Daphnia pulex: one gene and its partners. The protein of the gene in region 2 purifies or fractionates together with the protein of the main gene of each other region. This does not show direct contact. Links are inferred from orthologs where the notes say so. Each region holds a gene or a part of one and is shown on either strand. Other genes may lie near its edges.

Region 1 (6,714 bases), on a different chromosome or scaffold from region 2:
CATTCTTAATAAACTTGGATAACTCGTTTTTACATTCTTAAGTCTTAACAGATGCATGCGTAATTATTAGTAATTGCATACGTAGGAGATGTCACTTTCTCCCTGCATGACAGAAACAGAAATTTAGTAAAAATTTTGAATTCGATTATAGGAAGTACACCTAGAAATGTTACAGTAACCTAACCGAGTTTATAAGATACAACAAAATATATTGAGTAGTAACAGATTCACAATTTAACACATAATTAAGTCAAATAGGAGGAAATAAAATCATTCATCATGTTCGTCGACATGGCTTGAAATTGAAGTATTTTTAAATTGCACTATAATATGGATTAAATTTTTTTTAATGTCTTACAACTTTATGAAGTTTTAACGAATAGTTTTTTACGTTATCCGTCACTTTTAGTTTTTGATGTACATAATAAATGCACGTCTAATTTTTATCTATTACTAAGCTATAGAATTTTTCAATAATATTGGATTTCCATAAGCGCATAACCTGACTGCAATTAATTCTCGATCAACCGCAAATTCAGTTTCTCTTAAACTAGGTACACATGTAATGCTCAGTGCTTTTTTTTGCCAATTGTGCAACGCTGCTATGAGAGAGGGGATGTATTTATTACTGGGGTATGGGGACTGAACGCAAAGAAAGGAGCAGAAGCATCAGAACGTCGAATAGACAAGGTTGCTCAGGATACACCTTGTCCAGAAATTGGAACACAAATCATCACTTTTGCCAACTCAATTTTAATTCTAGGTAATAACTCATCCTTTCCAATTGTATTGGAGCCAAAAAAGTAGGTTATAGTTAATTTTCTTTGTTTATAAAATACGTTTATGATGTGAGGTTTCTGGCGTGACCGCTAGATGCTGCACAGCGTGTGGATTTATTTAAATTTGAAAATTATTTAGAATTTGCATTAAAAACTTCTAAAATTGCAATGTTTTAGTGTGTCAATGTTTAAGCAGAGAGATGTGTGTATTGTAAAGCTGTTTTCTTTTTACAGATTGCTGAAGCAAATTTAATGAAACATCATGGCATCAACCCAAGTAGTCTCTCTCAGTATTGGACAAATGAAGCGGGTGCATTTTCCTGCAGAAGGGGATGACAGACCTGTAGAAGCTATTCCACATTTTGTCAGTCCCAAAAAAATGGTGAAACCAGTAACAGGCAGTCAGCGCAAAAGAAGTCTCAGTCTTTCATTTGAAAGCAAGCAACATCACTTCAAGAGAAGACGCAAGGAAGAATTTGTGAGACCAACAAAATTTCTACTTGGAGGCAATAGTCGAGACCCGTTGAACTTGGGCAGTCTAGCAGATGAAAGAATCAACAAAGCTTTGAATGAGCATACCCCAGAATCCTCTCCGTTACCAACCCCTAAACACAGGAAGGAAGAAATTGAAGTATTAATTCCATCAAATATAAGGGATCCTTTAAACCTGAGTATGCCAGATGATAATTTAGCGGAAAGAGCGTTAATATCTCCGAATGCCGTCTCTAGAAAAAAGAGAGGACGAAACCGTAAAAGAAGGAGGACCAATAGCGCCAGTGAAGTACTGGATGCTGGACGACATTCACCCGAATTGAGCACGCTCACATTGGATCTCCCTGTAGTCAAGCAAGTCGCTGTTGAGTTGACTGAAAGTCATGCGACAATCGAAACAAAGCCAGAACCTGCTGTAAGAGAATTCAAGGATCTAAAGCTGAAACCTGAACCAATTAGACATTGCAGAAGGCCGGAAGACAAAATTGTTAGCCCTGTAGTTCCACAACCCGGAGCTAGAAAACGTTCTGGATTTTTCCCGAGATCCCTCTCTAAAGAATCTTCCGTCAAAAGTCAAAGTCAGCGTCCTTTTTCTCGATGCCCTTCAAGAGAAAGTCAAATCGCCGGAAGCAGTCAATCGAATAATAATCCCGAACAGGGCTGTTCATCTCACAATCTAAAGGAAGTTAAAAGATTTCAGTATGGCAATTACGATAGGTAAGATTTTTGCTTGTTTGTTTTGTTTTGTTTTGTTTTTTTTTTCTTTTTGCTAAATTTCTTTAATATTCTAGGTATTATGGCTACCGCAATCCCAATTGCGAGGATTTGCGCTTGCGCTCCTTTTGGCGTGAATGGTTCGAAGACAAGGATGTGTTGGATATTGGATGCAACGCAGGACACGTCACACTTTGTGTAGCTCGTGACTTCAACCCGAAACAAATTGTTGGAATTGACATTGATCCCAAATTGATATCAATTGCACGCAAGAACATCAAAACTTATTCAAGTTCACATCCGACTGAACGCCAGTTTCCAGTTTCCATGCCACTCATGTACGGATCCATCCCCAGTACCCATTCGTCGGCCTCTTCATCCCGCTTCCCAGGCAACGTTTCATTCGTCCAGGGAAATTATGTTCCGGAAAGTGATGAATTCCTTCAAATGGTCCAGCCAGAATATGATGCTATTCTTTGTCTTTCGGTCACGAAATGGATTCATCTCAATTGGAAAGATGCCGGCCTCAAACGTTTCTTTCAGAGAATTTTTGCTCATTTGCGACCAGGAGGAAGATTGATACTTGAAGCGCAGGGTTGGGCCTCGTACAACAAAAGAAAGAAACTGACCGTGAGTTTCAACATATCTTTTTTTCATTTTCCTTAAGAAAATTGTTCTAATCAATTATCTTTTTCTCTATTTTTAAAGGAAACAATTGCTGAAAACTATGCGGCTATTCAGCTATATCCAGAGCGATTTTCCGACTATTTGCTCTCCCAAGTAGGATTTTCCACTTGCGAAGAAATAGCTACCCCACACCATGCTGCTAAAGGCTTTCGTCGACCGATCCATGTTTTCACTAAACCTACAAATAGTTGCCCCACAACGCCCAAAGAGATCAGTGGGTGAGAAGTAACTGGGACTGCTGTCGATTGCTAATGTTAGCCAGTATCGTCAACCATGTACAGTTATTTTCGTTCTCGAAATCGCTTGTTTGCTTTCACCATTACACTGTTCGGCAAGTATTCACGTATTCCTTTGAGTTTTCAAGATCTCTGGTGTACCCTTTTCTTGTTCCAAATTCTTCTCCAACTTGTAGATTTTCCTTTCATCTATTTGTTTCGTTTTTTCAACTAAATTTCATTGTTGGATGAATTCGGCTGGATTGGTGATACGTTTAGCACAATAATGTACAGTCGATTATATTTTATAATAAAAGACTGTTGAATCAGAATTTCGCAATAGAGATACAGTACCTATCTGTATGTTACGTTTGAAACGGAAAGGGTTGGGTAACAGAAATTCTAAATTTTTTACTTCTCAGTTTTGTTTTATTAGGCTTTGTAGGAAGGGGCAGAATCAGATATCCCATCCTCTGATGTAAAAGAAATATCCGACGAAAAATAGAAATGCCTACAAGTTTTTAGTTGCCATCCCCTTAAATCTAACCATAGTATCCAAGGTAACTAAGAATCGTTTCTAATGTTATATTTCGGTATTGTAGTAAGATAAAATTTTACTATTCATTAGAAATGCCAGTCATTCAGACATCGGACCAATAGGAGGTAAGGGATGTTTAAGTAACCCCTCCCCCCCCCCTACAGACAAAAAAGATAACCCTTAATGTTTTTTATTCTTCAGTTTGGTTCTGTTTGAGCTTGAAATAATTATCTTTTCGTATTTCAAAAAGAGCTTTTATTACATACCAAAGCCAACGATGAAAAAACCGTCATTGAGTTACGCAATCTGAAAGGTGTAAAGGGCAGTATTACAGTCATAAACCAACTTCTTTTAAGTTACAGCTAGCTATAAATCTTCGAATTTCTAAATTTTTCTAATTTCAAAATAGTTGGCGAAACTCGACAAGAACTAAGCGAAGTGGCCACTCGACTTACTACCAGAAAAAGGGTGTGTGTAATATAAACCGTTGCAATCGAGATGCTTTATTTTGTCTGTTATTTTTTTTTTTCTTGCTTGCAGAATGGGCCGGAAAATCCTAGAAAATCCCAATTTCGAAAAAAAAATATCTATGCGGTAAAGTGTGGGTAACGAAAGAAAGGGAGGAGAAGGCATTACTTTCCGGTATTGTTGTAGATAAGTAATATTTCAAAAAATACAAACCGTTTCTTTGTTTTTAAAAAAAAGCAAATATGTATTTAGACTCTGACGGTGGGACCCACAGGGCAAGATAAACATAAGAACATACACACAACCGTTTGCGTTGCTCCCAGGCCCACCATAAGACAAGCGAGAGAAGAATACGATGATAATGAAAGAAAAAGTGAACCGTATACATCCCCTGCGAAGTTTCTGGATCCCTTCTATACTATACTCGCCCCTACTACAAGAAAATGTTGAGTAGTGCCAGGAATTCACATTTTTCAAGGATTTGCTGTTTTTTAAAAACTATCGACGAAAAGGTAAGCCTTAATTTTTTTACCTTATCTTTATACCGAATCGAACGTCGAATTCAATTGGAATTTTGGGGTTTGCAACTTGAAAATCTGTTTTCATTTGGAGTTGGTTTATAAAAATTGAGGTTGAGTTGCCAAATGTGATTCAGATACCGGGAATGTTTGTTTCCGTCCGTTGACATCCACAACGGAATGTATACACAGCGCTAGGCCTATGCCTATTTTTATCTACATTTTGAGATTTCCGTTTCCAGGTCATTGAAATGTTTGTTTAGGTTCCGGATCTTGTAATAAGGTTCACGTACTGCGTTGAAAAAATAATTTTTTGTGCGTCATACAATATCAAATAAGCGTAAAACATGCATTCACGATATTTCGCTATTTAATTGGCGAATCGCGAAATGTCGCCGAATGAAATAAAAATGTTTTCCATTCGAACCAGTACCTAACGCCATCTTTGATTTAACGGAGTCACCAAATTTAGTTCCGTTTATTGATACCAGATCCTCGAACTGGAGTGAAAATGGAAAATAAAAAAAAAACAAAAAAAAAAGAAGTTGAAGGGGGCCGCTTTTTAAAAGAAATCCCATTTTCAAAAATACTCCAAGACCTCTTAAGTCGGCTTGCAAACTGAGAAGCTGATGGCATACACGTAGCCCACTGGGCACTCTAGCCCGTCAGCAAAGAACGGCAATGGGAATGCCTTTTCAGTAACCATATCTGGGAGATATATCTTTGGCTCTATATACAGGTTTTTCCAAAGTTAAAAGTCCTGGCTCTGAAAATGAGAGACAATATAAATAAACTTCGCCGAATTTCCGTTGTGATTGAACTGTGCCGATTAGGAGGAATTCAAAACGGGTCAACTAAATTAAACTAAACCCCAGCTCTTTCCAATCATTGTACCGGTTTTTATGCATATTGCATAGCATGTAAACAGAACCCCAAAATGCGGTTAAGAGAAAAAGTATTGCAAAATAATTCCTCGGGCGTGACAACAATCCTCAGTAGTTCCCGGCAGTTCCATCAAACTAGTTTACTAGTATACGAAAAACCTTTTTTCAAATCCATTTTATACTATATAAGCCATACTGACTAGATATGTCTCTTGAGTTAAATAGTAATTGTGTTGCTAACCAAATGAAAAGGAAAAATGGACTATCAGTTAAGTTCAGATATTGTGGCCAGAGGCAATCGACAAAGTCCTTAAGGTGTTTCTTCTTTGAGTTTGAATTTACGAGGTCTCTCTACCTGTTTTTCGTTGTTTTGGTACTCTTATATATGATAGTTCTCAGATGCATTAGACGTACGGTACGATTTTTTAAGGAATAGTGGTACAAATAACTTTGGGAAAGGTCTTCAAGTTCGGACTCTCTATACCAAAACAATTGAGAGGGCAATTAACCTGAATTGCTATTTTTTTTTTCCTGTTTACAATACACAGGTATAGTCCTGCATGTATTTTGATCATAAGAATATGCTTCTCACACTCTTACGTAATCGGGTATTATTTCAATGACCAATATTAAATGAGGACATTTAGACAAAGACATTTTATCAATCAGGTTTTGCAAAAATTCGAGTTCCTTTATCCTTAATAGAAAAAGAATAACATGCACTTTGATAAACGATTGAATCATATAATAATCCTTTAAACGCCATTCATGGAAAAATCATGTACGCAGGTTTATGTAAAAACAAAATGGATATTGTCAGTCCCGGTAAAGCCAAAACCGTTTATACTTTGAAGTAAAATGTAACAAATGGTTGTTTTCTGGAGGGGAGATTGTTTTCAACGCTCTATAGAACAGTCACGAATTACATCGGTGTAGAACCAAATAAGCCATGACGCAATGGAGCGGACCATTCGTTGGCTGGCGCAGAGAGAGAACCCAGGGCAGTGATGTAACGCTGGCTCACACATTATGCTGCCGACCGTTGCTACCCCTCAAGGCGGCTATATACTCTCCGCTCTCTCCTTATATTCTCTTTCTCTCTCTCCCATTTCTATTCTTTCCTCTCTCTCTCTCTCGTCCTTCTTTAGTGCAGAGTTACACCATCGTCATGTTATCTGTAATCCTTGTCTGGGCGACTCAACGCTGCAAGGCTCTAAACTTGTTACAAAAGGACACGAAAACAAAATCACTACTATACCAAAAAGTGTTGGCTCGGAGGCATTTTTTCGACAGCAAGAAAAAACATTTTTCAAATTGATTCCCGAATTATTAAGAGTTCCACTCGAGTTGTCGTTTGATATCAAGGTTTTTATTTTCGGTGTATATATATATATAATACTGTGTGTACCGGCTAACGTC
Region 2 (8,172 bases):
GATTTGAAGTAAACTTGATAATTGCTTTACGCTAAGGTTTAAGTTTTTTAAAGAAATGCTAAGTTAAAAAGAAAAAAATTCTCAAAATATACAACCCTCAACATATGCTCTGCGACTTAAGATAAGGCTGTGTCTGAAATTTTTTATGTAACCCATACCATTGAAACAGCAAAATTTTAGAAAATTATGAAAGGGAATATTAACGTTTGGAAAATTTTATGCTGTGAATTGAAAAGGGATAAAATAAATGTATAACAAATATAAGGAGGCAATGCAATAAAAAGAAGGAAAATTTAAGACATGGCTTTGTCTGTTACATGAAAAAGTTTCAGACACAGCCTTATTGTCTTAAGTCGGAGAGGCCATGTTGTTCTAGAACTAATTAGTGGTAATTGATCTTCTATTTTTTTTAACTTTAATTTCCAACTTAGCAAGACATTTCATTTTATCTATGTTTTTTACTCTTGGCACTATTTTACTTACTGTACTACGCTTTGGTTGTTTCACAGCCACTTGAAACAGAATGATCGGATGATCAGAGTGACTGTTCTCGTTGGGAAAATGCCAATTTGAAATATTGGTATTATCACCTCTGAGAGTGACGTCCACCATCGCTGTTATCTGGGGAATGTATTCTAATTTGGAAACAGGAACGTTTGCTATATTTAACTTGTTTTGGTCAGTAAATGATTCCAGACACTCACCTCTTTTATCCGTAGACTTACTATTCCATAACTTATTTTTTGCGTTAGAATCCATGCCTATTATACAGACCGCTCTAAGTCAGGACCAGTCTTTATAAGATTCAAAAAATAATCTAGACTCAGAGACGGTCGGCAATATACAGAGAAAAAGTTTAGACCAGGGTATTTGTTTAAATGGACTCCTACACAATTATTTAGGTTTTGCACTGCTATATTTACAGCCATAAGAAATTTTGTAGCCAGAATTATTGCACCAAAAGCATGTTCTTTATTTAAGTTATGATGAACCGTATAATTACTAGGAATATTTGGTATAAGTAACTCATTATTAAATTTATTGGTTATGGCGTAAGGTTCTTGAATTAACGCTATGTCAATATCTAGCTCTACTCAAACTTGACTCAGGTTTAAGGATGCTACTTTACAGTGCTGCAGATTAATCTGTAAACATGAAAGTGATTTGTTATTGTGATTCATACTTTAGGCTAAGAGTTGTCTCAGTCTATCCACCACCTTAATGTGCGCTGAACATTGAAAGTCACCCGATTTGTGTGCACCTTTGCAATTCACGCATTTCATCTTGTTGTCTGGATGGATGCAGTCTTGTGTTTTGTGCGACTCTGCGAACCGGTCACAGATTTCTGCTGCCGATTTGTTTGTGCATTTAAACGTGACATGGCCCAGTTTTTTACATTTGTAACAATACGTCACCTCAAAATCCAGTTTAGCTTTTTCTACTCTATTCTCTTTTAACTCACCTGCGGCATTTTTAACTGATATTTTCCTAGCTTGGATTACTGCTTCTTCACACTTTTTGAATGTGCCATAAATCTTTGACGTGTCCTTTCTAATTCGAGAGCGGTTTGATTCTATTAATTTTACCACGTAATATTTCATTTCTAAACTCCATCTCTTTTTTAAGAACCTCTAGATTCTCTATCCCAGTCCCGAAGACTGCTATCGGGTACTCTATTTTGCGTTCTGAAACAGATTTTAAGGACGCCTCTATTTTTCCATCCGCTTCCATTAACTGTTTAGCCTTTTTGGCATCAGCGTCGTTATTAAACTTAAACCGAGCTATATTGTCTCTCTTAGTGAAAGACTGCAGCGTCAGATACTCCGAATTACTTTTAAAGAACTCATCCATAGCATCACCGATAAAATTGCTCGTGTCCACATCCGGATCTAGCTTAGCAATGATGGTGACCGACTTCGAGGCCACTGCCGCATAGGATTTACCTAGCTGCGAGTCCATTCCACTAGGTGGCTCATTCTCCTTAGTCGGCTGCCCATCACCGAATAACCCATTCAAGAACCTATTTGCAATTTTAACCTTGATGCTGGTTAGCTCACTTTCTATCTCTTTAGTATGACTGATAATGCACTCTTTCTCTTGAATGAGCGTCTCTCTTTCCTCTTTTAAATCCTTTATTAGTATATTATCATGTCTTCTCTCGACATGTCGGTCAGAGAATTCTGGCTATTGTTCTGTACACTAAGTGTACGTTTCCGTTTCTCACCATTGGTGCCACCAATACTTGATCTAGGTCTAGAGTACATTATTTTACACACCTCAGAGCAATAAAGATGATTTCCCTGCCATACTCCCTCCTATACGACGGAAATTCCGTCGTATAGGGGGTATATATTACACGAGCGAAGAAAGGCAACTTGCGTCACTTATTGATCAAGAAAAACTGAAGGTATATTTTTTAAAATAATTTAATGTCGTAGTGAATAGTGATCTAGTAACCACTACTTTGCCATTCATTTAGGCTATCAAACGACCAGTTGGAATAGCTTTTATAACCTTCGCCTCAAACATTCAAGCAGCGAGGGTAAGCCAAGATCATAGGCCCAATTGGCGATGTGGATCAATCCCAGAAAGCTCGAGCCTGATTGTTATCTTTAAGCCTCACCGTTGGTCCGTTGATTTTGCTCCACGTCCAGATGAGATCAATTGGTAACTAGATTAAATTAATTAAGGTTAATTCAAGTTCTATAATTATCCTCTGTCGTATAGGAGGGAGTATAGGATTAGTCAAGCATAAAATAATTTCTAGTTCGGCTATACGCCACAGTGGTACGCATTGGCGTAAGCTTCGCACGACTTTTGGCTATGTCGCGTACTTTTGAATTGCAATAAGATCTATTCGGCTGCGTCAATAGTCAATACAATACGTGTTACTGATGTATCGCGAATAACGTTCAGGATCAGCGCAGTGTTAATGGTTTATTTTACGTTACGTTTTTACGGGTTTATACGTTAATGGATTATTGGTCCTGATTGATCTTGTCCATTCGGAACCGTTCCGAACACAGCCGCCTATTTTATAACATTTCCCAACACACCCGCTGTGGCGCGGTGTAAAGGATTGGCCGATCGCACGATAGATGGTGTTTCTGCTTCATAAATCTTTGATCTTTGATTTCCATTTTCCAACCACTTAAAACCTAGGAGAAACCTTTTTCTTAATTATTAATTGGAACATATCGAGAACAATAATATTAAATCAATTATGGTAACTATTGAGTTTTGTGCTTCATACCGAATCATCGAAGATTAATTTAATTATTTATTTATCTAGTTACCTTTGTCGCTACTACGTACAGCCCAGAATCATCCCATGGTAAGCATTTTTTACTTTTGTTATTTACAGCAATAAAACTAGTGTTTCAATATTTACAGTTAGTGGAATTGAAAAATGGGGAGACTTACAATGGCCACTTGGTGAGTTGTGATAACTGGATGAACATCAATCTACGAGAAGTAATTTGCACCTCCAAGGTAAAGTACTTTCATTTAAGATAGTTCCGTCATCTGTATCTGTCAGTGATATTCTTGAATACGATCATAAGGTTTTACATATAATATTTAATGAACAAAAATACAATTTCTTTAGGATGGTGACAGATTTTGGAGAATGCCTGAGTGTTACATTAGAGGCAGTACCATCAAATATCTTCGAATTCCAGATGAAGTCATTGATATGGTTAAGGAAGAAGTAGTTGCAAAAGGTCGTGGTCGCAGTGATGGTAAAGGAAGAGGTGGAGCCCAAAGAGGAGGCAGAGGTGGTAGTAGAGGTATGTTTTAAATGCCAAAATTTTCTCACTCATTATCAATTAAGTTAATGGGGTATACAAAACAATTTTATTCGTAGTCTTAATATTGTTTTAGTCATGAATATTATTGAACAAGTACCAAGTTATAACAGTATTATACAAAATTTTCTGATAATGGTCCAATGGGATAAATATAGTACAATCACTTAATGCTCAAATGATTGTACAATAACTAATGTATGTTTGACTTCTTGTTAATCTCATTATTCTAGAATCATGTTCAGTATATCGTAGCTTTATTTTTAAATTACGTCGTTTCGTGTCATTTGACGAATGAATAGCTAAACATCCTATCTGCACATTCAGGAATGCCTGCTCTTATGGTTTAAAAATGAAATCTATCTACTATGTAGAGGTTTATAATTTGTTTTTTATTGATTATTATTTCAAGAGGTACATGCCGCGTCTCTTACTTGAATACTGATAATAAATTAATTTTAATATTAATTAAAAATAGGAATTTATAAAATTAATTATTTAATCTTTTCACGTTTTTTTATATTTTATTTTAACCTTCCAAAAAAAGTTTACAGTTTAATGAAGTATAGTACTACCTAGGTAATGTTTCTCAGTCGTGTACATTATTATAACTTACATTATTTCCTTTTACTAAGCGTTAGCTTATCGCAGCTACACGAATGTGCGTCAAACTCAAATTAATAGTTAATGATTGATTGAATCGATGGGATTATTTTAATTTTATTATTTAATATTTTTATTTTAAAACATATAGGCTTCGTTGACGTATAATATGGAGCATGCATATTCCTATTGATATGATATAAAATTATTCTTGTGTTGACCATCAGGTTCTTTTGGTGCTTCAAGAGGTCGAGGCGCGCCGTCGGGACGAGGTGGTGGTGGTGGTGGTGGCAATAATAAACCCCGTGGAAAGTAAATAAACTTGTCAGAATGAATGTATGAAAATAAAAATATGGCCAAGTCTTGATTTATTCGAGACGCTTTCTGTTTTGATAAAAAGATGGAAGCACTTATCTCATTCTTTCTCTTCACATTAATTTTACATGCTTAAAATAAGCCCATAAAACCTTTAGGCTGAAATACACCAAGAAACTGAAATATTTAGAAGAGAAGAAGCCCTTGTGGACTTGTAATAACACGCTGCACCTTCAGCTGTTTTGCTGCATATTTCATAAGTCAGTAGGTGCGGCGTAGTAAGAGTGGATGTGTCGGATCGTTCGTTGCCAACTGGCAAAGCGACAGCGAAAATCGTTGTTAGCACAGAAGATTCAGATGCCCATTTTTAATAACGAATGAAAACAAATGTTTTGTTTTTGCAGAAAGTTCGGCGCGCTTAATAAATGTCAAATGTGTATACATATTTTGAAGCATGAAAGTTTTTCGTTTGTTATAGATACTTTCTGCGTTATAGATACTTTGAACTTGAATGCTCACCAAATTCAGTACAAAAGCAAAAGCCATACCACTAATTTTAGAGCGACACCATAATACATCTTCCATTTTCTCGCTCAGTTGCATTCGAACGTAAAATACAATTAGCTCGTAATTACGATTTAGTTCTTAATTATTTGTCAGACGTTTGCAATAGTAAATTCGCCTTGCGTATCCGGAGAAGAAAAAAAATATATAACAATAGATAACCGATGGAAGAGAGATCTCTTGCTGCTAAGGAATCTACGGGGTGATAGACACACGAGAAAACCCAGGAGATGCAATTAGTTCTCCAATCTCCATTTCTCTCCTGTGCCTATGCACGGATACAACAGCAACGAGATGCCCGGAGCCAGCCAGCGCAGCCCCTGCTGTTCGCGCAGCCAAGCCCAACTTGGGCTTTCATCTCTCTTCGTTTTCGACATTTTCTTTCTTTCCTCCCTCACTCTCTCTTTCTTGTCCCTCCCTACCTTGAACCGAACCAGCAATTGACTCTTGTTTTAAGGGCCAAACACATTTTAACTTTGCCAGTCCTAAACCCACAGGAAACTCCCTGACGAAAAGAATGGCTAATATAGAACAGTTAATTGATCTCACAATAAAGTCATTTTCTTCTACTATACCATCTATTCAAGGCCTATTTATTATGTTCACCTTGAAGGAGAGTATTTATATGCGACGTTGTCAGACTCGAGTAGGGGTGAAAAGTGTTAATCATTAACCTTGAATTACACCAAAAAAGGAACCAGTTACTATAAATTAAATCGACGCATAACATTCAAAAGCGCCATTCAAGCAAAGGGCCTCGATAATAAATTAAATGTTGTTTTTCCGAGGCATAGTCAAGTTGCGTTCTTCCACTAGGCGATACCCGGCGATACCCTCTAGTAAAGGGCAACATCCTCTCTTCTGACTTGATATGGGGACAAAATCATGACACTAGAAACTCGTGAATAGAGCGTTAGTCGAAATCCTTCGCTAAAGACCTTTTATTGAATGGAGAAAAAAAGTTTAGTGAATAGCTTCAAGGAATTTTCGTAGAAGCGCCTTTTTCTAAGTCGTACGGAAGGGTGAAAAAGCTATAAGCCCCTATGAAAAAAGGCCTATTCCAGTGCGAGGGGATTTCAGTTGGAAAATAGAAACGAAATGAAACGATGGGGAAACGAAGGGCTTGAAGCTGCTGCTGCTGTCTGGGGGTCTGCTGGTTTAGTGAGGGGGAAACAGATGCGAAGGGGAAGAGAACGTTACAAATAGGAGAGAGGGAAAAATAGGCCTCCCTTGTAAAAAATGAAAAAAAGTTCCGACTTTTGACGCCCAGTCAATAGATTTACTACGATGCTTTCTTTTTTTCGAGCTTTTCGTCTTTCCTACTTCTCAAATTCTCCCCCAAGAGATTGTAAAGAAAATGATTCCTTCTTTGTTTCCAGTTTTCCACTTCTTTCGAATGCCGTAGGATCTTCGCTCTGCATTGTCTTTTATACAGCATTCCCAGAATAGCCCAAACTGACCAAGTGAATGAATTAACCTCCTATATACGTGAACTAAAGTTTTTGTGTGTGCCAATTGTTGTTGATTGGGGTGGGGGGATTATCTGTGTGAAAGACAGCAAAAGGTAGCCTGAGAAAAATTGGTTTCGCATTCCTCGAATGGGTCAATTGTTATTGTAGTGGGGTAGAAAATGTGACCGCCAGATGGCACTGGATGCGCAGTCGGGCAGTCGCGCGCTGCCGCCATCTCCATAGTTACATGTTAGTCTTGAGCTAGAGTTCTGGTAGTAGTGTAGTGTTGTGTTGACTCTTGTATATGATGCTTGTTTCTCCTCGTCATTGTAGCTGCTGTCGGCGGTCTCGTGTTATTTGGTGAATCTCGCCATGTTGGGCGCGTGTTGTGAATATCGAAAAGACGCCCGCAGGTCGTGCCATGAGCATCCCGCGTTTCTCACTATCTCATTTCAACAAGGTGTCCTCGCGCCGATTATGAACCTTTATTATGGCCTATCATGCATCTCATAGAAATAGAGTGGACGGAGCTCGCCAGCCGCATCGGTCAATCAACAAACACAGCAGGCTCACTACTCGTCGAACTCGCACAGTGCTCCAATGTCTTCTCTTATTCGCATTAGTGGTATGATACTCGTCCTTATATTATAGCCTTAACACACTTTGTTCCCCCCCCAAAATTTCATTTGTGGTTTCTTCTTTTTATAGTGGATTGATACGACAGAAGGCAGGCGACACAAGCGCCCGGAAACTTGCAGCAAACCTGACGTAAGTCGATTCCATTTTCGATACAATTATTTGTATCCAACGCACGCTTTGCCGTTGCTCTAATCCATTGTCGTCAAAGAAGCTCCAAGCGAACAGGCTACAACATGAAACGCTAGATTGAAATGGAAACCCGTCCAACGCAAGGACTAACCGTGTGTTGTGGGTGACACTCGGGTATTATCATACGTGTTTCCCGCCTACAATTCACACCAAACTTTTGGCGGCCATGTTGAATGTAATGCGCGTGCCCAACTCCCCGCAAGGAAAACACAAGGTGTAGGCGAGTGACGGCTCGATTCAGATGTCGAGCACACTTACACGGCCTTATAACGTCCCCCCTCGCACATGAGACTTTGTCCATACCCAACTTTGGTTTCCATAAGAGAAAAGTGAAGAGGGAGGTTGGGGGGAGGATGAGGAGGAAGAGAAGGAATTTTTCAAAAAACCTGTACTGGTTCTTCGGTCGAGAAAATGCGTGTTTTATGGCAGGACTAATTTCTTGACTTTCTTGAAACAAGATTAGCTGCATAGATGGGAAAAATTGCCAATCAATAAAACGCAAGACTTAAACTTTTGGGTACCCTACCTTGAACCACAAAATTGTAGGCCTTTATGGTAATCATTAAATGTTGTGCATTTCCCCTGGTTGGTATGGAGCCTGGTCT
Region 3 (8,757 bases), about 9.2 Mb from region 2:
TCCCCGATGATGAAGGCATCGATGACTGGCCAGAAGAATAACGTTCCATGGCGCTGCTGTTTGGAGGCAATGGAGCCGCAGGGAGAGCGGCAGCGTACGGATGTGCACGGGCCACCTGCGACAAGTTCGAGTGGGAGACCTGAGGTGGAGGAGGCGTAACAGGTTCGGTAGCCGGACCTACGTGACTCGTTTGCAATAAATGAGCTGATGGCACCAGACTCAAGCCACTGTTGACTCCAGCTGCCACAGGCATGGACCTCATTTTGTATGGTGATCCATCCAGCATAGGTCGAACAGGAGGTCTACAAGAAGAAAAGGAATCAGAACTACAATGGCATCATCTCTCCGGTTCCTCGTGTTTTCAATTTAACCTAGATTTGATACCTTCCAATGTGAGCAATCGGTAATGGTCCCGAAGTAGATTGAGAGGGCAGCCTGGTTGGAGTCTGTCCATAACTGGATGGCATTGTGTTGACTCGTGGACTGCTAGCTGCAGGGCTGTGAGATGGCAGTGGGAGAGATCTTACCGTCTCCATCAAGATTCCAGCTGATTAATGGGGGTTTCCGGCAACCAACTGGAATCACTTTGACATCTTGCCAGAAACTTCACAGCACTTTTATGCAGATAGTGGTAGGACGGGGTTTCAAACGACCAATTCTATTTAATTATCAGAATTGGGAGCGTTCACTACTGGTGCCATAGCAGTGGCACAGGTGCCTGAGCTGAAGTGGGGCCCCTCTTGCTCAAATTTTGAAGTTATTGTTCAACCATAAGTTCAGGCAATCTGCCTTGGCGTACACGCTGGAACGGATTCTGACCTTCATGAACGCAAAACTTATTTAACACTGGTCGCTTTGCGAATGTATATAGGGTGAAACACTGCTTAACAAGTCTCTTTGACGGACTTCTTTTCCAGAATGTGATTTTTCCCCTCCCCTGAAAATGGCGTCCGAATGATCGCTCTAGCGGGGAAAACGACCAAAGAAAAAGGCCAGCGACTATGCGACGATTCATACTAACGGATGTTTCATGTACTAACAGAAAACAACTGACAGGCGAAATGCGAAGAATTCCCTTTAATTGTTTACGTTTTCTGTTCCTTCAGAGTGTACCGAGTACTCAGATAGGATAGGGGCATTAGGAGACAGATCCGGATGAAAGGTCATCACGGTTACATAAACATTTACTTTCAACTTCAAACAAAGTTGTATGGTTTAAGCTTGTAGTTGCATTTCCCTTTATATTGAACTCACCAATAATCAATGTTTTAAAATCAAACTATTTTATTTCTTTTCATGGAACATATGTCAGCATCCTTGGTTTATTGACTTTTCGACATTATTCTTTTCCTTTGCGCCCCATCAGCAAAAAATATTTACGTCTTATTGTAAACTGCCCCTCGTCTTTATTGTCCTCATAGGCTTTCAGGCAGCTGTCACCAAATGTCAGACACACAAAAGAAAGGTGTTGGGATGAACAATAATACTTAAGCAGCAATGTAATTTGATACCTTGATGTAAATTCAGTTAAAATTTTCTCCTGCTTGGGCTCCATGGTTTTTGCAGTAATTCTGGTAACCAGACCAAGTAGTAATGTACCCAACAAACTCTGAAATAGTTGTTCTGGTTTCCTCTGTCCAAAACTCCTCTCTCAATGTCCATGAAAAAAATGAAGTTTTTCAAGATTCATTCAAGTAAATTCTGGAGCATTCAAATGTAGGATACCTTATGAAATCTTCAAACGGAAGCACTATATTAGAATATTCGTTATCTACGAGTTCACGACCACTTCCCCAATAAGGGCCTGTTCTTTGGTAATAAAGCTATTTCCAGAACAAGAAAGAAAGATTATAGTCCAAGACAATTAGGCTACCATAAATTATTAGATCTAGTACCAAATCAAAAGCCCTTTGAAAGTCTTGTTCTCTGGTTGGATGTATAAATTTAGGAAATGTGTATCCTGACAAGGCCACAATACCATTTGAACAAAGAACTCTTTTAGTTTCTTTAAAAAACTGGGGTAGATCAAACCAATGGCATGCTTGGCTAGCACTGACAATTTGCACTGATCTTTCTTTAGCAGGAATTTGTTCAGCAGGGCTTACCCTAAATAATAAATTCATTTTGTTGGTTGTTTTGGTTTAAAAAAAAAAAATGAATTCTTCATGTTACAGAAATTCAATGTTGGATGGATGATTCATGGTCTTTGCAACAGTGACTTGAGCAGAACTCACATCTGTTGCAATCACCTTTTTGAAATCTGATGAGAATAGGTTGCTGCTCTGGCCATTTCCGCACCCAGCGTCCAAACAAAGGCTTAGTTCCCCTTCATACTGCAAAACATGAAACAGGAATTTCATGTGTCCTCAGTTTAGTCACTGCCCTGGGTCAAAATTCAAACCCTAAAGATTTTCAAGTTACCTTTTCTTTAAGATAGTTAATTATTCTATTTCCAAGCTGCTTCGGCGGACACGGGCGAAATTTAGCATAAACATTAGCATGTGTGACACTTTCAAAATATCTCTGAGACATTATTGCACTTTAAGAATATTTTAAAACTAAGTTTGAATTTTGAAAATGGTAAATATAATATTTTTAAGGAGTAAATATTACCGCCAGCACTTTGTTTACTTCAAAACTGTTGTTATTGTATTGTATCGTGAGCTTCAGCCACCAGACGGCGTCGTACAAAAATACGCAACCGCAATTATGCATAACGATTGACTTTTTAAATTATTAATTATCAGAAAATCTTTATCATATCTTATCAGCCCACAGAACTCAATAGCAAATGCAATCAATTTAAGTTATTCAAAATAATATATAGGGGTAGTGCACATACCAAATATCGAAAATAACATGCTTACTTGAGACGGATATTGGTGCAATAGGCCAAAAGGAGAATTGCAATAAAAATTTTACAGTTATGGTTGATCATCTTTACTAGAAGTTAAAGTCAATTGGCGATGTTATCTGACGGCTCGTTTAGATGAAGTTGGCACTGTGACAACGAACCAAGGAGGCCATCAAGTGAAGAAATGTGCCTCCTTAAATGTCTCTTTAAAGTAATGCGCGAGGTAAACAATTTTCCACAGATGCTACAAGTCAGCTGCTCGGAATGATGAATTCCAAGATGACTTCTTAACTCTGTTTTTGCATTAAATGTCTCTTTACAAATAGAGCACTTGAGGGCTTTTACTGCAACAGCAGATTTTGAATTATTAGATGATTCTGCCGTAAAGAAAATAGACAAATTTGTGATCACTATACAGACTGGTAATACAATTTTATTTTTGTACCTGGAATTGGCTCTAAAATAATCTTCTTTTCAGTGTGTGTAGAGCACTGGGAGATTTGCCTTTTCCTTTTAGAATTGATTTCTGAAGAAACTGTGTTTTTGGTCAAATTTTCATTTGAATCATCTGTTTTTGTGGGAAGAGATTCTTGAACATTTTCATAAATTATTTGAAGATCTTCATCTTCATTTGAGCTTGAATCAGAATCACATTCAATTTCATGCGACTGCAGCTTTTGCAGCTGTTCCTCAACCTTTCTCTTTTCTAATATTTCCACTTGGAATTGTTCTTTCCCATGTAATTTTACAAGACCTTTGACTTGAAGTTCTTTGGCATATGTGGACACTGTCACCAAGTCGACTGATGATCCTTCAGCAATCCCATTGTAAAGGTAATTAACCAAGCAGACCATAGGTTTATAACTATTGAATGGTAAAAGATAAAAATGGTTATTTTTTAATAAGTTTCAAATGGGAATGACTATTACCTGAATCCTTCAAGGAAAATGACAGGCTCAACATGGGAATCACAACCCAATAGCAACTGGCTAAACAAAGGGCTAAGCGAAGCGAGAACAGAACGATTAACCAAAATTTTTTTTCCTTCACAAATTAAAGTTACATCTGCGTGACATTGATTTTTATACATGGCCAACAAATTCCGAGTCCACAGATCGTCCAGAGATTTAAAATTCGTCTTGTTTTCCATTTCTTTGTTTAAGAGTCAACCAAGTCTAAAAATCACTGGAAATATATTTCTTCAACTCTTTAAAAAAGCTAAATAAAGTATATTTCGAATTTCGTTGAGCGATCGTCTTGGATGTGTTGTTTTCAACAGTCAATCAAATCAATTAATGTTAAGCAGAATAGCAGATGTGATTCATGTGAAGATTTAAGTCTTCTGCTTGATAGTTCATTCATCTGCCGCTAGGCTGTGCGTGCCGAATACGAACAACATCGATGTAATGTTGTGTTGTCTTTGAAATTAACCCAACAACCCCAAAACTCGATCTCGAATTATTAAAGAATTATACAGTACAAGTGCTTCTATTTATACACATACACAAAAAGAGCTTCATGATGGATGTCCAGCAAGGTTTTGCTGAGGAAGATGAGACTGAAGAAATGAGTTTTGAAGGCAATGACAACCCTAATGGGTCAGGCAGCTCTGATTCTGATGATTCAGAAAAAGAAAGGGAAGAGCATTATGTTCTCGAGAGAAGAATTGTTGAACTAAGAAAAGAAGTAAGTGTTTTCCCATGTTTGTGAATTTTTTGGTTCAATTTTTAAAAAAATTGTATGTTTTTAGCTCGCAAAATCTCCAAATGCCTACAACACACATGTTGAACTGATTAGTTCTCTACAAAAACTTGGGGAACTAGATCAGTTGAGATATGCCAGAGAATCTATGCATGCCATTTATCCTCTGACTGAAGGTAAGATTTAATAAACAATTTAGATAATTTTTTTTTTACATTCCTTATTCTCTTATTTAGAACTATGGCTTGACTGGCTAAGAGATGAAATTAAACTTGGATTAACAGATGAAGACAAAAAGAAAATTGAATTGCTGTTTCAAAGGGCAACAGAGGACTACTTAAGTATATAAAAATATAAATTTTCAACTTTTCAAAATATAAATATTATCATTTTCAGATATTGATATTTGGGTGGAATACATCCAATTTTGTCTTGCTGGAATGGATATTGGAGGTGTTGAAGCATTGAAAAAAATTAGAGCAGTTATGGAAGAAGCCATTCGACATGGAGGACTTCATGTTGTAAAGGGGGCTTTGCTGTGGGATTCTTATCGCGATTTTGAAATGGCGATATATCAAACAACTAAAGGTGGAAGTGAAACTGAGAAGACCAGTCAAGCCCAAAAAATCACGCATTTGTTCAACCGTCAACTCTCCGTTCCCTTGCTGGATATGGTAAATTTCTTAAATATCGTAGATTTGTTCTTCTTACTGAAGTCTTATTTTCAGGAGCGAACTTGGACAGAATACAATGAGTGGCTTCAGATTTTGGATCAGAAAATTGAACCACATGTCAAAGCCACTTATGACAAAGCAAAGGGACAAATGGAAAAGATAGCACCCATAGAAGACACCCTGATAATCGCTGTTGAAAACGACCACAAGGTTGCAGCTTACCGTACGTATTTGGATCTCGAGATGAATGAATTTAAAGATCCTGCTCGCATTCAAGCACTTTTCGAGCGTATTGTTGCCGAGATGCCGCTGTATGACTCATTCTGGAACGATTATTGCAAGTTCGTCGATCATCAATTCAAAGCCGCAGAAACCACTTTTGCCATTTTTAAACGAGCAATCCGCAACTGTCCGTGGAACGGACCCATCTGGTCTGAGTACATCTTGGCTGCCGAGCGCTACAAAAAAGAGGATGGATTCATTGCAGGTAGATAAATAGCGAATTATAATAACCATTCATATTGTTTTTTACGTTAATAATTCAAGGGTTTACTCAACAGGTTTAGTAGAGAAGGCTTTCAATGCGGGACTAGCAACAGCGGCCGATTTGCTGTCCGTCTGGATGAGTTTCATTGAATACCTTGTACGAAAATGCACATGGGGTGACAGTGACAATGAGAACATCGTTCAACTTCGTGAAGCTTTTACACGAGCGACCGAACATTTAGATCAAAGTAAGTTTTTCTAAGACCAATGAAATCGCCAATATAAAAACTATAACTTTTTTGTTTTGTAGCTTATGATGTCGAAGGAGACCCGGAGTGTACACTGCTACAATATTGGGCATATTTCGAAGCAAAAAAGCTGAATAATATGCCTAAAGCTCGAGACCTCTGGAGCAAGATTATAAGCCGGGGACACAGTAAATCTGCTCAGTGGTGGCTGGCTCGTGTTCAGTTTGAAAGGTTATTGATCTAATTAGTTAATTCTATTAGAGTTATATTAACACAATGCTTATTATAACAGAACACACGATAACAATAAAGAAGAAGTCCGCAAATTATTTACGAAGAGTCTAAATGGAGTCTCTTCGTCCGATTGGCCAGAGTTGATCGTTAAGCAATGGCTGCAATTTGAACGCGAAGAAGGAGACTTACAAACCATGGATATCGCTAAACAGAGGTCTGAAAAATAATTTAAAGCTTTTGAAAATTTTGATTTTAATTGTTTAAATATGCCAGGTGTGAAGCTCGGATGAAGAAGGTTAATAAAGAAAGAGAGGGGCAAACGGTTCAAGAAGTAGAAACGGCTAAAGGTAGGAAACGAGGAAAGATTGAAGATGCGAAAGAATCGAAACCCGTGCCTGCCAAAAAACCTAAAATAAGCCATGATGCCGCAGCAACTAGTACGAAAGTTGTTCCCAAAAAGAAAGTTGAACCTAAAGTAAACGCCACCGAACCTGCTAGCAAGCCCGTTGTCATTCCTAAACCGGTTACCGATCCTTCCCGTCATGCCAATACGGTCTTTTTAAGCAATCTGGCCTACGAAACATCTGAACAAGATGTACGCAACATGATGAGTTCTTCCGGCACCATAACGGACATACGTCTTGTTCTGGACTACAAACAACGTTGCAAAGGATTTTGTTTTGTCGAATTTTCTTCACAAGTAAACTTCCATAATTAAATTTCCTACGCTTGTCCGTTAAATTCATTTAAAACTATCTTAGGATGAAGCGAGAGCAGTTCTGAAGCGGGACCGTGAGCTCATGAAAGGACGACCGGTTTTCATGTCTCCAAGCGAACCGGACGCAGCATTGAAGCATCCAGCTTTCAAGTACCAGTCAACATTAGAAAAGAAAAAACTGTTTATCAAAGGTACGTATTTGCGATCTTTAGGTACGAGCTTAATTTGTTTTTATCCCAAATCTATTTGATGTTATAACAGGCTTAGCTTTCACTACTACTAAAGAAGACTTGGAAGCTCTGTTTAAAAAATTTGGAATTCTGAAGGACGTTCGATTAGTAACGTTACGGAACGGTAGCGTTTAATAATCTAAATTAAATTTATTTTTTCTTTACTAACTTCTATTTAATTAAATATAAAGGAAAGCCCAAAGGTCTGGCTTACGTTGAATTCGAAGATGAAGTTTCAGCGACGATGGCTATGAACCAGACAGACGGAACTACATTCCAGGACAAAGTTTTGACGGTTGCGTTAAGCAATCCACCTCCACGTCGCGAAGACAGAAACCTGGACAAGGATGAACTATCTTTGGGTGGCGGAACACGGGTAAGGAGAACGCAAGTGTCGTTTGTTCCAAACGCCGTCCTTCGCCAGACATCTCAGTCTTCCACCATGCCGCCACCCGTCAGTGTTCCCGCCAGTGCTTCGAAGAGCAATGCCGATTTCCGGTCCATGCTTCTAAAGAAATAATTTGAAAATGACATTGAAATGGCACGAATAAATAAAAAATGGACTGATCAACATTTAATGGCACTTTAACTTTTGTGATCATTATATAGGATACAGTGATGTACCGTTACAAAATTCTGACACAAAACAATACTGAGTTAACTCGGCGAAAGAAAAATGTACAAAATCGTTGGATGAGGGGAAAGCCGGGAAAGGGTTATTTCGTCTCTTGCTATTCATCTTCCTCTGAATCCGGAGCAAAGACTTCAGTTGGTCGCTCTCTGTATTCTTGTGTTAACTTGAGACAATTCTGAAATATGTAGCGAGCCCGAGCTCTCTTATTAGGAGGTGGTTGAATTTCGGGTTCCAAATCTACTTCCATATCAGGAAACGGATGGGGCTCGATAAGAGATAGACTGTTAAGACGTGGGGTATGATCCTCGTTAACAGGCGTTTGTCGTATCAAAGGTGTGTGTAAACGAGTGTGTGTCGTGCTTGCACGAGAACCGTTCCTAGAATCGACCAAATTGGCACGCGAAATGGTCCTGGAATCTAGAAAATTCACGAGGAGAGCAATGTATGTCAAGATCCTGACTTCCCTTTCAAGCCTGTTTTGTTACCTGTTTTATTCCTCAGGGTAGGGACAGGAGACGGATGGTTGGAGGTATTGCCTTGTACTGACATTTCGTGTTTGGCAGTTCGCGAACTAATGGATGCCGTAGTGTCCAGAGCAGGCGTTAGAGTTGCAAGGAGAAAATCTGCTGAATACAAGTCATCCTTTTGTAGACTGAACAAAACAGGCCTGGTAGAAGGAATTCCGTAAATAATCGATGCAACTTTTGAATCACAAGTAAAATGAAATATTGCTTACTGTCCGGCGCCTTCCATTCGACAATCAAGATCGAGTTTCAGGGCTTCTGCGAAGGCCAAAATAGCTCGTAATTCCTTCAAGCAAAATGTAACTTGAGTACACAGAGCGACGTTAAATTCAATGAATTCATCCTTGACCAACGTGACTTCCGTACGAACACATTTGGATGGGTCTATTTCATCATCAATATGGTTACTCAAATGTACTTGATCCATTGCAAGGGACCTTGAAAGAATAAACGA
Region 4 (8,731 bases), on a different chromosome or scaffold from region 2:
CTCTGCCTTTTCTACTCTTTCTACTCTGTTTGTTGTTGCTCTCGTTGTTTGTTGTTGTCGACCACACACACACGATCGCAGAGTAAAAAAATCAGAGCTCTTTGAAAGGCGCGCGCACACACGTCGACTGTTTTGGCGTTGTCTGATGATGGCGCGGCTCCTTTAATTGAATTGTTTTTGTTTCTGGTCGGTGATTGGTGTCTCGTTTCCTAGGATGTGCTTTTGTGACGTTCACGTCGCGTCAGTCTGCCGTCACTGCCATCAAGACCGTGCATCACTCACAAACGATGGAGGTGTGTAAGTGTCCACCCCACCACCCAACCAACCACCACCTTATACCCGTCTTGTCACCTCATCCGCACTAACCTCGTTGATTCTCTTCCATTCCCCGACAGAAGAAGAAAAACGTTTCAATGTCTCGTTTTCCTCACGACTGTGTCCCATTTTCATCCTTTTTCTCTTTGTTTCTCTTATTTCATTTGATGTTTAAACAGGGATGCTCGTCGCCGATGGTCGTCAAGTTTGCCGACACCCAGAAGGAAAAGGACCAGAAACGGGTCCATCACGTGGGTAGCACCACCAATCTCTGGGGTGGAATCGGCATCAACAATTTACCTCCGCAATACCTGACGGTAACTTCCCCCAATTCACAAATTCTACTTTTTCTAAAATTTTCTCGTCAATCTTTTATTATATTTTTAAAGGGACTACCGTCGAACGGAGGCGCAAGTTTGTCGCAGTTGAGCGGACTCAACGCGCTGGGCGTCCAGCAACTGTTGGCAGCCTCGTCGCAAAATTCGCTGGCCAACACTCAAGGTAAAACAAACAAGGAAGCACAGCAGAACTAGGCAAAGATCAATATTTCTATTCTAATTCTATTGACGTGGTTTCTTTCTCTACATAATGATTTTTCTTTTCCGTTTGTTTGTTTGTTTGTTGTTTCTTCGTTCGCTGAACGCCAAAACTTTTTTGTTTTTTGTTGTTGATTTTTGGCAGCCGCTCTACAAAGTCTGGCCAACTTACAGAGTCAGGCCGGACTGGGAATGAGCGGAAATGGAAGTCCAGGCTCGGCAGTCAACGACCTCAATTCAAGTCTGGCCGCCCTGGCCAATTTCAACAGTCAAAACATTTTCGGATCATTAGGTAAACGGAATGAGGACGACACCATTTTCAATTGGGAATTATTTCTAACAAATTTGAATTTGGCGCCATTGTAGATATCAACGCGATGAACATGCAGAACCTGGCCGCCTTGGCCGCCATCGCCAGCAACGGAAATGGAATCCAATCGCTCGGTTCAGGTGAGTCGCAGGCCCAACCGGAATTTTTATCTCACCTTTTCTGATTTGTTGATTGAATGTCGTTTTGCCGAGGGCGTGTCAAATGATTCCGACTATTTCAATTGCACCGGTGCATGTCCTTTCTTGATTTCCTTCCCCCCCCCCCCCGTTGGATTTTCCATTTTTAAAAAAGACAATTTTGGCTGAAAAATATTTTTGGGCTAAAATTGTCTAAATATTTGATGCATTTTAGGGTTCAAATTGGATTGGAAATTATTTTTCTGATTTCGTTGGTTGTTTGATTTATTTTTTGATCTCTTTTCTCGTATTTTGCAATTTGGCTCTTCTATATTTGGGTGTGTGGTGTGCTATGCTGTGGTGGTGCCTGCCCATTTCTACCCCCCTGCTCCTCCGGGTCCGTATTTCTCTCACCCACCCAAACCTCTACCTTTTTTTCATCAACCCAAAATGACGTTGTAATACGCAACAGCTTTCACGCACGGAGACGTCATTGTACCCGTGACAGCTTCAGCTGGCCATTGGGCTCCAGTTGTCGGTAAGTAAAAAACAACTAAAACCAACACAAAAAACGAATTTTTATTTTCTCGACGAGACCAAACCTTTCAAATTCGTTGTAGCTATCAAATGTGTGTGCACAACAACCTACCCAAACACGAATGGGGAATGGCATTTTTCATATTGAATTTCTCGTCTCTCTGAATTGTATAACGGAATGATTTCTTCTTCTTCTTGTGCACGTTTCTATTCGCTTTGATGACCTTTTTATTTCTTAAATTTTATTTTGGCTTTTTGTTTGTTTTTTTATATCGATTTGTTTGTGCCGGAACACACACAGACACGAAACACACAAGACACACACAACAAAAACACTTGAGAGAAATGATCAACTCAAATTGCCCCCCTCAATTATTTTTTAAATTTTTTGTCATCATTTTTTCGGCTATTTCTTTTTGGTTTTCTTTTTCTTTTTAATGGAATGCCTTTTCTTAATATATGCCCGTCTTAATGACAAGTGACGGAAACAACACGGTGATCCATTCATAGATCAAATGGGGGACAGAAAGGGGTTGATGCTTTTGTTGTTTAATGTCGCATGTTTTGATGGTTTGATTGGACTTTGAATGGGATTTAAACTGGGACATTTAAAACAAAATAAAAGAACAAAACTCCTAAATTCCCTCCCCAAAAACCGCCCGGCTTGCAAAAACAACCGACTCATCTGACACCCAAATTGATAGGAGGATCGGCCAGCAATTCGCTGGGCCATCAACTGGTGGCCGCTGGCCCCACTGCCACAGCTGCCGCCACACAACCGTCCCATTCCAACAGCCAACAACAACAGCAGCAGCACCAACACCACCACCAGAGTTTAGTCAACAATCGCGGGACAGCTGGAACAGCAGCAGCCACGGCGACGTCGGCCGGAATCAACGGATTGGGGACGTCGGCAGCCGCTGCGGCAGCCGCCGCCGCCGCCAATCTCGAAGCCCTGGCCAACGCCTACACGGCCGGCATCCAGCAGTTCACTACAGGTGCCGCCCAGCCCCTTCTCCAAACAAAAACCCCCAATTCCGCAATTCCGCAATTCCGCAAAATGAGATGATCATTTCTCCAATGTGGAAAAAAAGCGCCAAAATTTAAAAAATTGAAATAATTTCATAAGGAAAAGTTACACACGAAACAACAACATAAAAATCATCCGGCACTCTTCGTCACTTTGCTTCTTTTTCACCTGTTTTTCTTCCACTTCCGGCATTCCGGCATTCCTTTTTCGTTTCAAAAATTGATTTATTTGTTGGTTTGTTTTTTTAGCTTTCCCCAATTTCACTAGCGGCCAGGTGGGGATGAATGGCGCCAACGGCGGGAGTGTCAGTCCCCTGGGTGGCAGCGGCAGCGTGACGGGTAGCGGATTGCGCCAGCAGGAAGGGCCGGAAGGATCCAACCTGTTCATCTACCACCTGCCGCAAGAGTTTGGCGACACGGACCTCTGTCAAGCCTTTTCGCCCTTTGGCAACATCCTATCAGCCAAAGTCTTTATCGACAAGCAGACCAATTTGTCAAAGTGTTTCGGTATTTCCATTTAATTTGACATGACATTATATTTTAATCGGAAAATTTTGATGAATTCTATTTCTCTTATTTTAGGTTTCGTGTCGTACGACAACCCGATGAGCTCCCAGGCGGCCATCCAAGCCATGAACGGCTTTCAAATCGGCACCAAACGGCTCAAAGTCCAGCTGAAACGTTCCAAAGACGCCTCGAAACCTTATTAAAAAAAAAGAAACAGAAAAACTCTCGGGGGGAGAGAAATAAATATTTTGAAATTCGAAAAAAAAATTAAAAAAAGAAAAAAATATTTTTTTGTTGATGTCACTGAACGCAACAAGCCACCGCCCCATTACAAAAAAAAAGAAACGTACAATTTTCAAATGACTGGACAAACACGCCTTGCCCCTTCCCCCTTTCTTGGTAGTAAGTTGGGAATTTTAAATTTTTTTTGTTTTCATTTTATTTTTTAAAAATAATTATTATTATTCAATTTGAAATGCGACCAAATAACCTAGTCACATTTATGGAAAAAAGTGCAAAGCCTATAAACATATCATGTGATTGGTTCTTCTTAAATTTCTTTATTTCACAAATATTTCACAAATAGAGAAAACAAATTGATTTAAACCTTTTTTTTTGAATTCTTCTCGATTCATTTTTCCCGCTCAAATTCAAATGATTGAAATTTTCTAGTCTATCTCAGGGTTTTGTCGTTGACTACATGTTTTAGCTGTAACGTTTTTGTCTCTCGTCTCTCGTATCGAATGTTGTTTTTGATTTGATTTTCTCTTCTTCTTCTAGGTTTCCTTGTGTCCGTGTGTCCGTGTGTGCACCACAACCAACCAACCAACCAACCACAAATTTAAAAAAAAACAATTTCAAACCTCCTCTCGTTTTCACGTTGTTTGTCAAACCTTTTTTTCTTTTTTTCATCGTGTATCTTACTCCCTGCGTGTCTCGTACGTGTGTTTTTGTCGTCCCCCATATAGACACAACAATTGTTTGGCGTCTCTGTCGTCGGAGAAGCGGACGAATATTTCATCCGCTTCTTTTCTTTTATTTGTTTTTCATTTACACGTGTCTTGTTCTTCTTTAATTGTTATGTTGAATCATAGTATATTACCAAATTATTGTAGAGAGATTACAAAAAGAAAGCTATTTCATGTTTGCCTCCCTTTTAAAAAAGAAAAGAAGAATTCAGCTAGGCCAGATGCCAAAATGTCGTTTGTTTGTTTCTTCAATTTTTATTTTTAGTTTTTCCATTTTTTGGATTATGTTTGATTATGTTCCGTGTCCCATTTGTTTGTGTGTCTTTTGATTGTTTTAGTTTTTTTCGATGTTGATTCGACATGGATGTAGTGATCAGCTAGTCTCACCCACACACACACGTATAGGTTATATATAATTATATTAATTTCTAATTTTTAAAAGTGACATTAATTCAATTCGAAAATACGAACGTGTATACCTCCCCCACCACCACCCACCATCGACTCTTCATTTCTGTTCGAACCGTTTGACAACAACAACAACAACACGCAAGATGTTGGAAACAAGGTGTGGCGCCGTGACACCTACATGTGCCTTTTTGTTTTGTTTTTTGTTCTTTTTGATCGAAATTTCCTCGGCAGTGACACGTACAGACGCACGCCCTAGTCATGCAACAAGAACACACACACACACGTCCGACGGCCAATTTACCACAAGTATCAAATGATCCCAAATGTCAGTGTGACGTGCAGATTTTTCGCAAGGACCGGCAAACATTTTTTGGCAACCAGGTGGACGTTATCCCCCAAAAAAGGACTTGACAAGCACCTAAACAAAAACTTGTATATCTCTAATTGTGTTTTTCTTCTTTCTTTTAATTCGATTGTCTTTTGTTCAAGTTCCAAGTGAAAATTTTTTGTTGTGTTGCAAAAAGTGATGTGACGGAGTTGTTTGCTGTTGTTGTTGTTGTTGTTGTCTGGTGGGCACGTGAGATCTCGTCGTTTCATATTTTTCTTCACACCCCATTTCCCACGTTTACCTTCGTTTGAGAAAAAACAACTACGGTTGGCGATTTTTGAAGCGTCAGACATTTTTCGATACTTAAAGAAAAACTAAAACAATTATGTTGCAAGACGCCAGCAAGAGAAATTCGCCCGTGTCTATTTTTTGAAAGAAACACACACAAACTCGTGACCTAATGAGCACTTGTTGATGGTAGTCATGTTTGTAGTATTCATTTTTCAGTTCTAATTAGACAAGTTCCTGCGAGAGAGAAGAAGAAGAAGAGAAATTTGAATTTCGGGTGGGATCGACGATGCCAAATTTTATTTTTGTTTTATTTGTACGACTTTTTTTTTTGTTTCATTTTTTTCACGTTTGCACCGCAAATTTAGACAAAAATTTGATGTTACAAATTGCGATTTTTTTTTGGAAATATTTGGTGTGGAATACTTTAAACGTGTTTCAGCATGTCGCAGAGCGATTTCATTTGCCCGTTTTTTATGATGATTTCCCCCCTCCCGAATGATGGCAGCCAAGTGAAACAGTTAATACAATATTTTAAATTAGCGTCTTTAAAATAAATGTCGATTTCAATTAAATTAAAAAACAAAAGTAGGTGTGCGAAAATCGTTTTTAAGAAAAGAAATCTGGCAACGCAGCCACTCAGAAGACCGACTACAAAAATGGCAAAACGTGTTTCGTGCGGTCTCGATTTCGTTTCCCCTGCCGATATTACAAATGCTCTACAAATCGCCACAGAATCCAAGTATTAATTTGATTCCCGAAATTAATTTCACAAGAAATTGCCCCAGTCACTTGTTGCTAACAGCGTAATACTTTTGATTTCGTCAGGTATGATTTCGCTGCACTGCCAATCGCCCATCCGAGACACAAAAGAGATTTCTCCGGAAATTCTCAAGCTCGACGTCTCTCAGCTTTCACTCGAGCTGATCTCATTCTGAACAGCTCAGGTATAAAAGATAAAAAAAGTATAAATGTGTGCCGAGTGATCCCCTAATTGAAAGTTGAATGATCTCATTTCAAGACTGGAGCACGCTCATTGTTGGAAAGATTTCTCCACACATTGATTTGGATCATGAAGACAAGTTGCTGCGGCAAGAATCTGAGAAAATGCTGGAGCAAGAGTTGTCCTTTGCTGGACATCTGGGTCTCCCCGCTGTCCTTGTCCCCTTGAGAAAGAACAACACAAATTTTGCCAGATTTATGCACAACAAAGTGTTGTCTTCACCGATGAATCAGGTATTTCATTACCAATATTTTCTTTTTGCAGACGATTCAATTATCACTTTGTGCCTAGGCCAGGTACCATGTTTGGCTCCACCTCCCCATGATTTCCCCGAAAATTGAGGCTAGTCTGTTTGAAAGGGATGTGGATGAAGAAGAAGTTGATGATACTTGGCATTGGTGGAATAACTTTCGCATTACTGCAAACTTTGAGAAGAAACTCTCACTGGCCCTGGAACTCACAGCTGATTTGCCTGATGCTGAAGACATTGATCGTTGGCTGGGAGAGCCAATCAAGTGTCTTGTGGTTCCTACCCATTTATTCATGACCAACAAGAAAGGGTTTCCAGTTCTTCCCAAATCCCACCAAGTGGCCATACGTCAGTTTTTACGCCAGAAGACGCAAATTCTGATCACTGGAGCTCAGCGCCACCAACATTACAAGCATTATCAACAATATATTGAGCATTTGTGGCAAGTAAGGGGAAACAACAATCGCTTACTTTCCTTTTCAATCATCATATTGTGTTTTCTTGTAGGTTGGGTATGAATCAGATCCAGTTATGCGATTTGCACAAGGTTACGAAGACTTTCTCCAATTTCCTCTCCAACCTTTGATGGATAATCTCGAGTCTCAGACCTACGAAGTATTTGAAAAGGATCCCGTGAAATACACCGAATACCAGCGGGCGATGTATCTGGCCATCCTGGATAAAGTCCCGTTGGAAGAAAAGGACACGAAAGTCATGTAAGTTTTGTTTTTTGTTTCTTTTCTACCGAGATCTCCGTCGTAATTGAATTATTTTTGAATAACAGAACATTGATGGTTGTCGGTGCCGGTCGAGGTCCTTTAGTTCGTGCTGCCTTAACTGCCGCAGAGAAAGCTGATCGTCGCATTCGTTTGTACGCAGTGGAGAAGAATCCCAACGCCATAGTCACGTAATGTTTTGCCGCAGAAATGTTATCACTCGACTCGTATTAATCAAGTCATTTTCATTCAATAGTTTGCAGTGTCTAGCCGACGAAGAGTGGGGGGATCGAGTGACTATCGTTTCTTGTGATATGCGCGACTGGGATGCACCTGAAAAGGCAGACATCCTCGTCTCGGAATTGCTCGGATCGTTTGGAGATAACGAGCTATCGCCAGAGTGTCTGGACGGCGCCCAAAAATTCTTGAAAGGTGCCCGTGACATTGTCGTTATTTGGTGGAATACTTTGTTGCTCATTTTTATTTCATTCTTAGATGACGGGATCAGCATTCCTTCGAGCTACACTTCATTTCTGGGACCAATCCAGTCTTCCAAATTGTTCAATGAAGTGCGATCCTGTCGGGAGCGTGACAAGCCTTACTTCACTTCTTTCGAGATGTCGTACGTCGTTCACTTTCGCAACAGGACAGAACTGGCTGATCCGCAGGCCTTGTTTACATTTACTCATCCGAATAGAGGTCAGGAAAAAATTGTTTTAAAAAGCTCTGAATTTCTGCTTTAATCCTTGACTTGACTTTGACAGAAATGCCAATTGACAACAGCCGTTATGAAGTGCGGAAGTTTCCTATTAAATGCGATGCTATGCTCCACGGGTTTGCCGGCTATTTTGAAACGGTTCTCTACAAAGATGTGATGCTCTCCATCAACCCTGCAACACACTCGCCTGGAATGTTCAGTTGGTTTCCAGTTCTTTTCCCCATCCAGAATCCCATCAGTCTGAAGAAGGTAAATTCAACTGTCTCTCCCGATATCTAGACAACATTTTAAATTTTTCTTAATTTTACAGGGAGACGTTCTCGAGATTCATTTTTGGCGTTGCGTCAACCGCACCCACGTCTGGTACGAATGGTGCGTGACGAAACCTCATGGCAGTGCCATTCACAATCCGTTGGGTCGCTCGCACAATATTGGCCTCTAAATGTAACTTAATAACTAAGCATTGTTATAATCATGATTCCACTCGTGTCTAGTTCTTCCCTTGTTCATCATGGGACTGAATACAAGGATTGTTCAAGTGTTAACATTTTTGCAATTTTTTTAGAACTCAGTGGCCAAGGAAAAAGGTTTCTAACAAGGCTCAACTGTGTTCAAATCATGAAATGAATAAGAATTGATCATATTTTTGAAACATAGATAAGGTTGCAGTGGGATATC

The links.
Region 1: the proteins of U6 snRNA-associated Sm-like protein LSm4 (region 2) and probable RNA methyltransferase Y17G7B.18 purify together in Homo sapiens (affinity purification with mass spectrometry; 3 studies listed by BioGRID and IntAct, with this or other methods). This does not show direct contact. The link is inferred for Daphnia pulex from reciprocal best matches to the Homo sapiens genes LSM4 and MEPCE.
Region 3: the proteins of U6 snRNA-associated Sm-like protein LSm4 (region 2) and squamous cell carcinoma antigen recognized by T-cells 3-like purify together in Homo sapiens (affinity purification with mass spectrometry; 4 studies listed by BioGRID and IntAct, counting the BioPlex papers as one, with this or other methods). This does not show direct contact. The link is inferred for Daphnia pulex from reciprocal best matches to the Homo sapiens genes LSM4 and SART3.
Region 4: the proteins of U6 snRNA-associated Sm-like protein LSm4 (region 2) and protein arginine N-methyltransferase 5-like purify together in Homo sapiens (co-immunoprecipitation; 3 studies listed by BioGRID and IntAct, with this or other methods). This does not show direct contact. The link is inferred for Daphnia pulex from reciprocal best matches to the Homo sapiens genes LSM4 and PRMT5.

What each region holds. Positions count from the first base shown.
Region 1 is NC_060021.1:10,086,920-10,093,633, forward strand, and holds the end of probable RNA methyltransferase Y17G7B.18, read left to right. Parts: intron 1-483; exon of another isoform or gene 484-554; 5' UTR 555-763; exon of another isoform or gene 764-803; intron 804-1,013; 5' UTR 1,014-1,041; coding exon 1,042-1,988; intron 1,989-2,062; coding exon 2,063-2,615; intron 2,616-2,693; coding exon 2,694-2,894; 3' UTR 2,895-3,219; downstream 3,220-6,714. UniProt on the Homo sapiens protein: S-adenosyl-L-methionine-dependent methyltransferase that adds a methylphosphate cap at the 5'-end of 7SK snRNA (7SK RNA), leading to stabilize it.
Region 2 is NC_060026.1:5,479,313-5,487,484, reverse strand, and holds U6 snRNA-associated Sm-like protein LSm4, read left to right. Parts: upstream 1-3,078; 5' UTR 3,079-3,223; coding exon 3,224-3,226; intron 3,227-3,292; coding exon 3,293-3,334; intron 3,335-3,393; coding exon 3,394-3,492; intron 3,493-3,607; coding exon 3,608-3,788; intron 3,789-4,636; coding exon 4,637-4,725; 3' UTR 4,726-4,907; downstream 4,908-8,172. Other genes in the region: metalloprotease TIKI1-like, read left to right, coding at 7,230-7,364, 7,448-7,507. UniProt on the Homo sapiens protein: Plays a role in pre-mRNA splicing as component of the U4/U6-U5 tri-snRNP complex that is involved in spliceosome assembly, and as component of the precatalytic spliceosome (spliceosome B complex).
Region 3 is NC_060026.1:14,701,509-14,710,265, reverse strand, and holds squamous cell carcinoma antigen recognized by T-cells 3-like, read left to right. Parts: upstream 1-4,210; 5' UTR 4,211-4,372; coding exon 4,373-4,540; intron 4,541-4,604; coding exon 4,605-4,731; intron 4,732-4,791; coding exon 4,792-4,896; intron 4,897-4,951; coding exon 4,952-5,229; intron 5,230-5,283; coding exon 5,284-5,716; intron 5,717-5,789; coding exon 5,790-5,963; intron 5,964-6,025; coding exon 6,026-6,194; intron 6,195-6,255; coding exon 6,256-6,411; intron 6,412-6,470; coding exon 6,471-6,897; intron 6,898-6,958; coding exon 6,959-7,106; intron 7,107-7,176; coding exon 7,177-7,269; intron 7,270-7,336; coding exon 7,337-7,665; 3' UTR 7,666-7,723; downstream 7,724-8,757. Other genes in the region: uncharacterized protein LOC124203973, read right to left, coding at 1-326, 385-536; putative methyltransferase DDB_G0268948, read right to left, coding at 1,524-1,650, 1,726-1,823, 1,896-2,106, 2,173-2,333, 2,422-2,532; zinc finger and BTB domain-containing protein 18-like, read right to left, coding at 2,957-3,231, 3,300-3,718, 3,784-4,004; cell cycle checkpoint control protein RAD9A-like, read right to left, coding at 7,877-8,196, 8,253-8,446, 8,516-8,740. UniProt on the Homo sapiens protein: U6 snRNP-binding protein that functions as a recycling factor of the splicing machinery. Promotes the initial reassembly of U4 and U6 snRNPs following their ejection from the spliceosome during its maturation.
Region 4 is NC_060023.1:12,077,030-12,085,760, reverse strand, and holds protein arginine N-methyltransferase 5-like, read left to right. Parts: upstream 1-4,337; 5' UTR 4,338-5,923; coding exon 5,924-6,108; intron 6,109-6,194; coding exon 6,195-6,313; intron 6,314-6,387; coding exon 6,388-6,602; intron 6,603-6,660; coding exon 6,661-7,065; intron 7,066-7,126; coding exon 7,127-7,335; intron 7,336-7,403; coding exon 7,404-7,526; intron 7,527-7,591; coding exon 7,592-7,767; coding exon of another isoform or gene 7,768-7,830; coding exon 7,831-8,034; intron 8,035-8,099; coding exon 8,100-8,302; intron 8,303-8,363; coding exon 8,364-8,495; 3' UTR 8,496-8,598; downstream 8,599-8,731. Other genes in the region: CUGBP Elav-like family member 1, read left to right, coding at 214-293, 495-632, 705-816, 997-1,143, 1,218-1,301, 1,771-1,836, 2,540-2,833, 3,114-3,371 and 1 more. UniProt on the Homo sapiens protein: Arginine methyltransferase that can both catalyze the formation of omega-N monomethylarginine (MMA) and symmetrical dimethylarginine (sDMA), with a preference for the formation of MMA.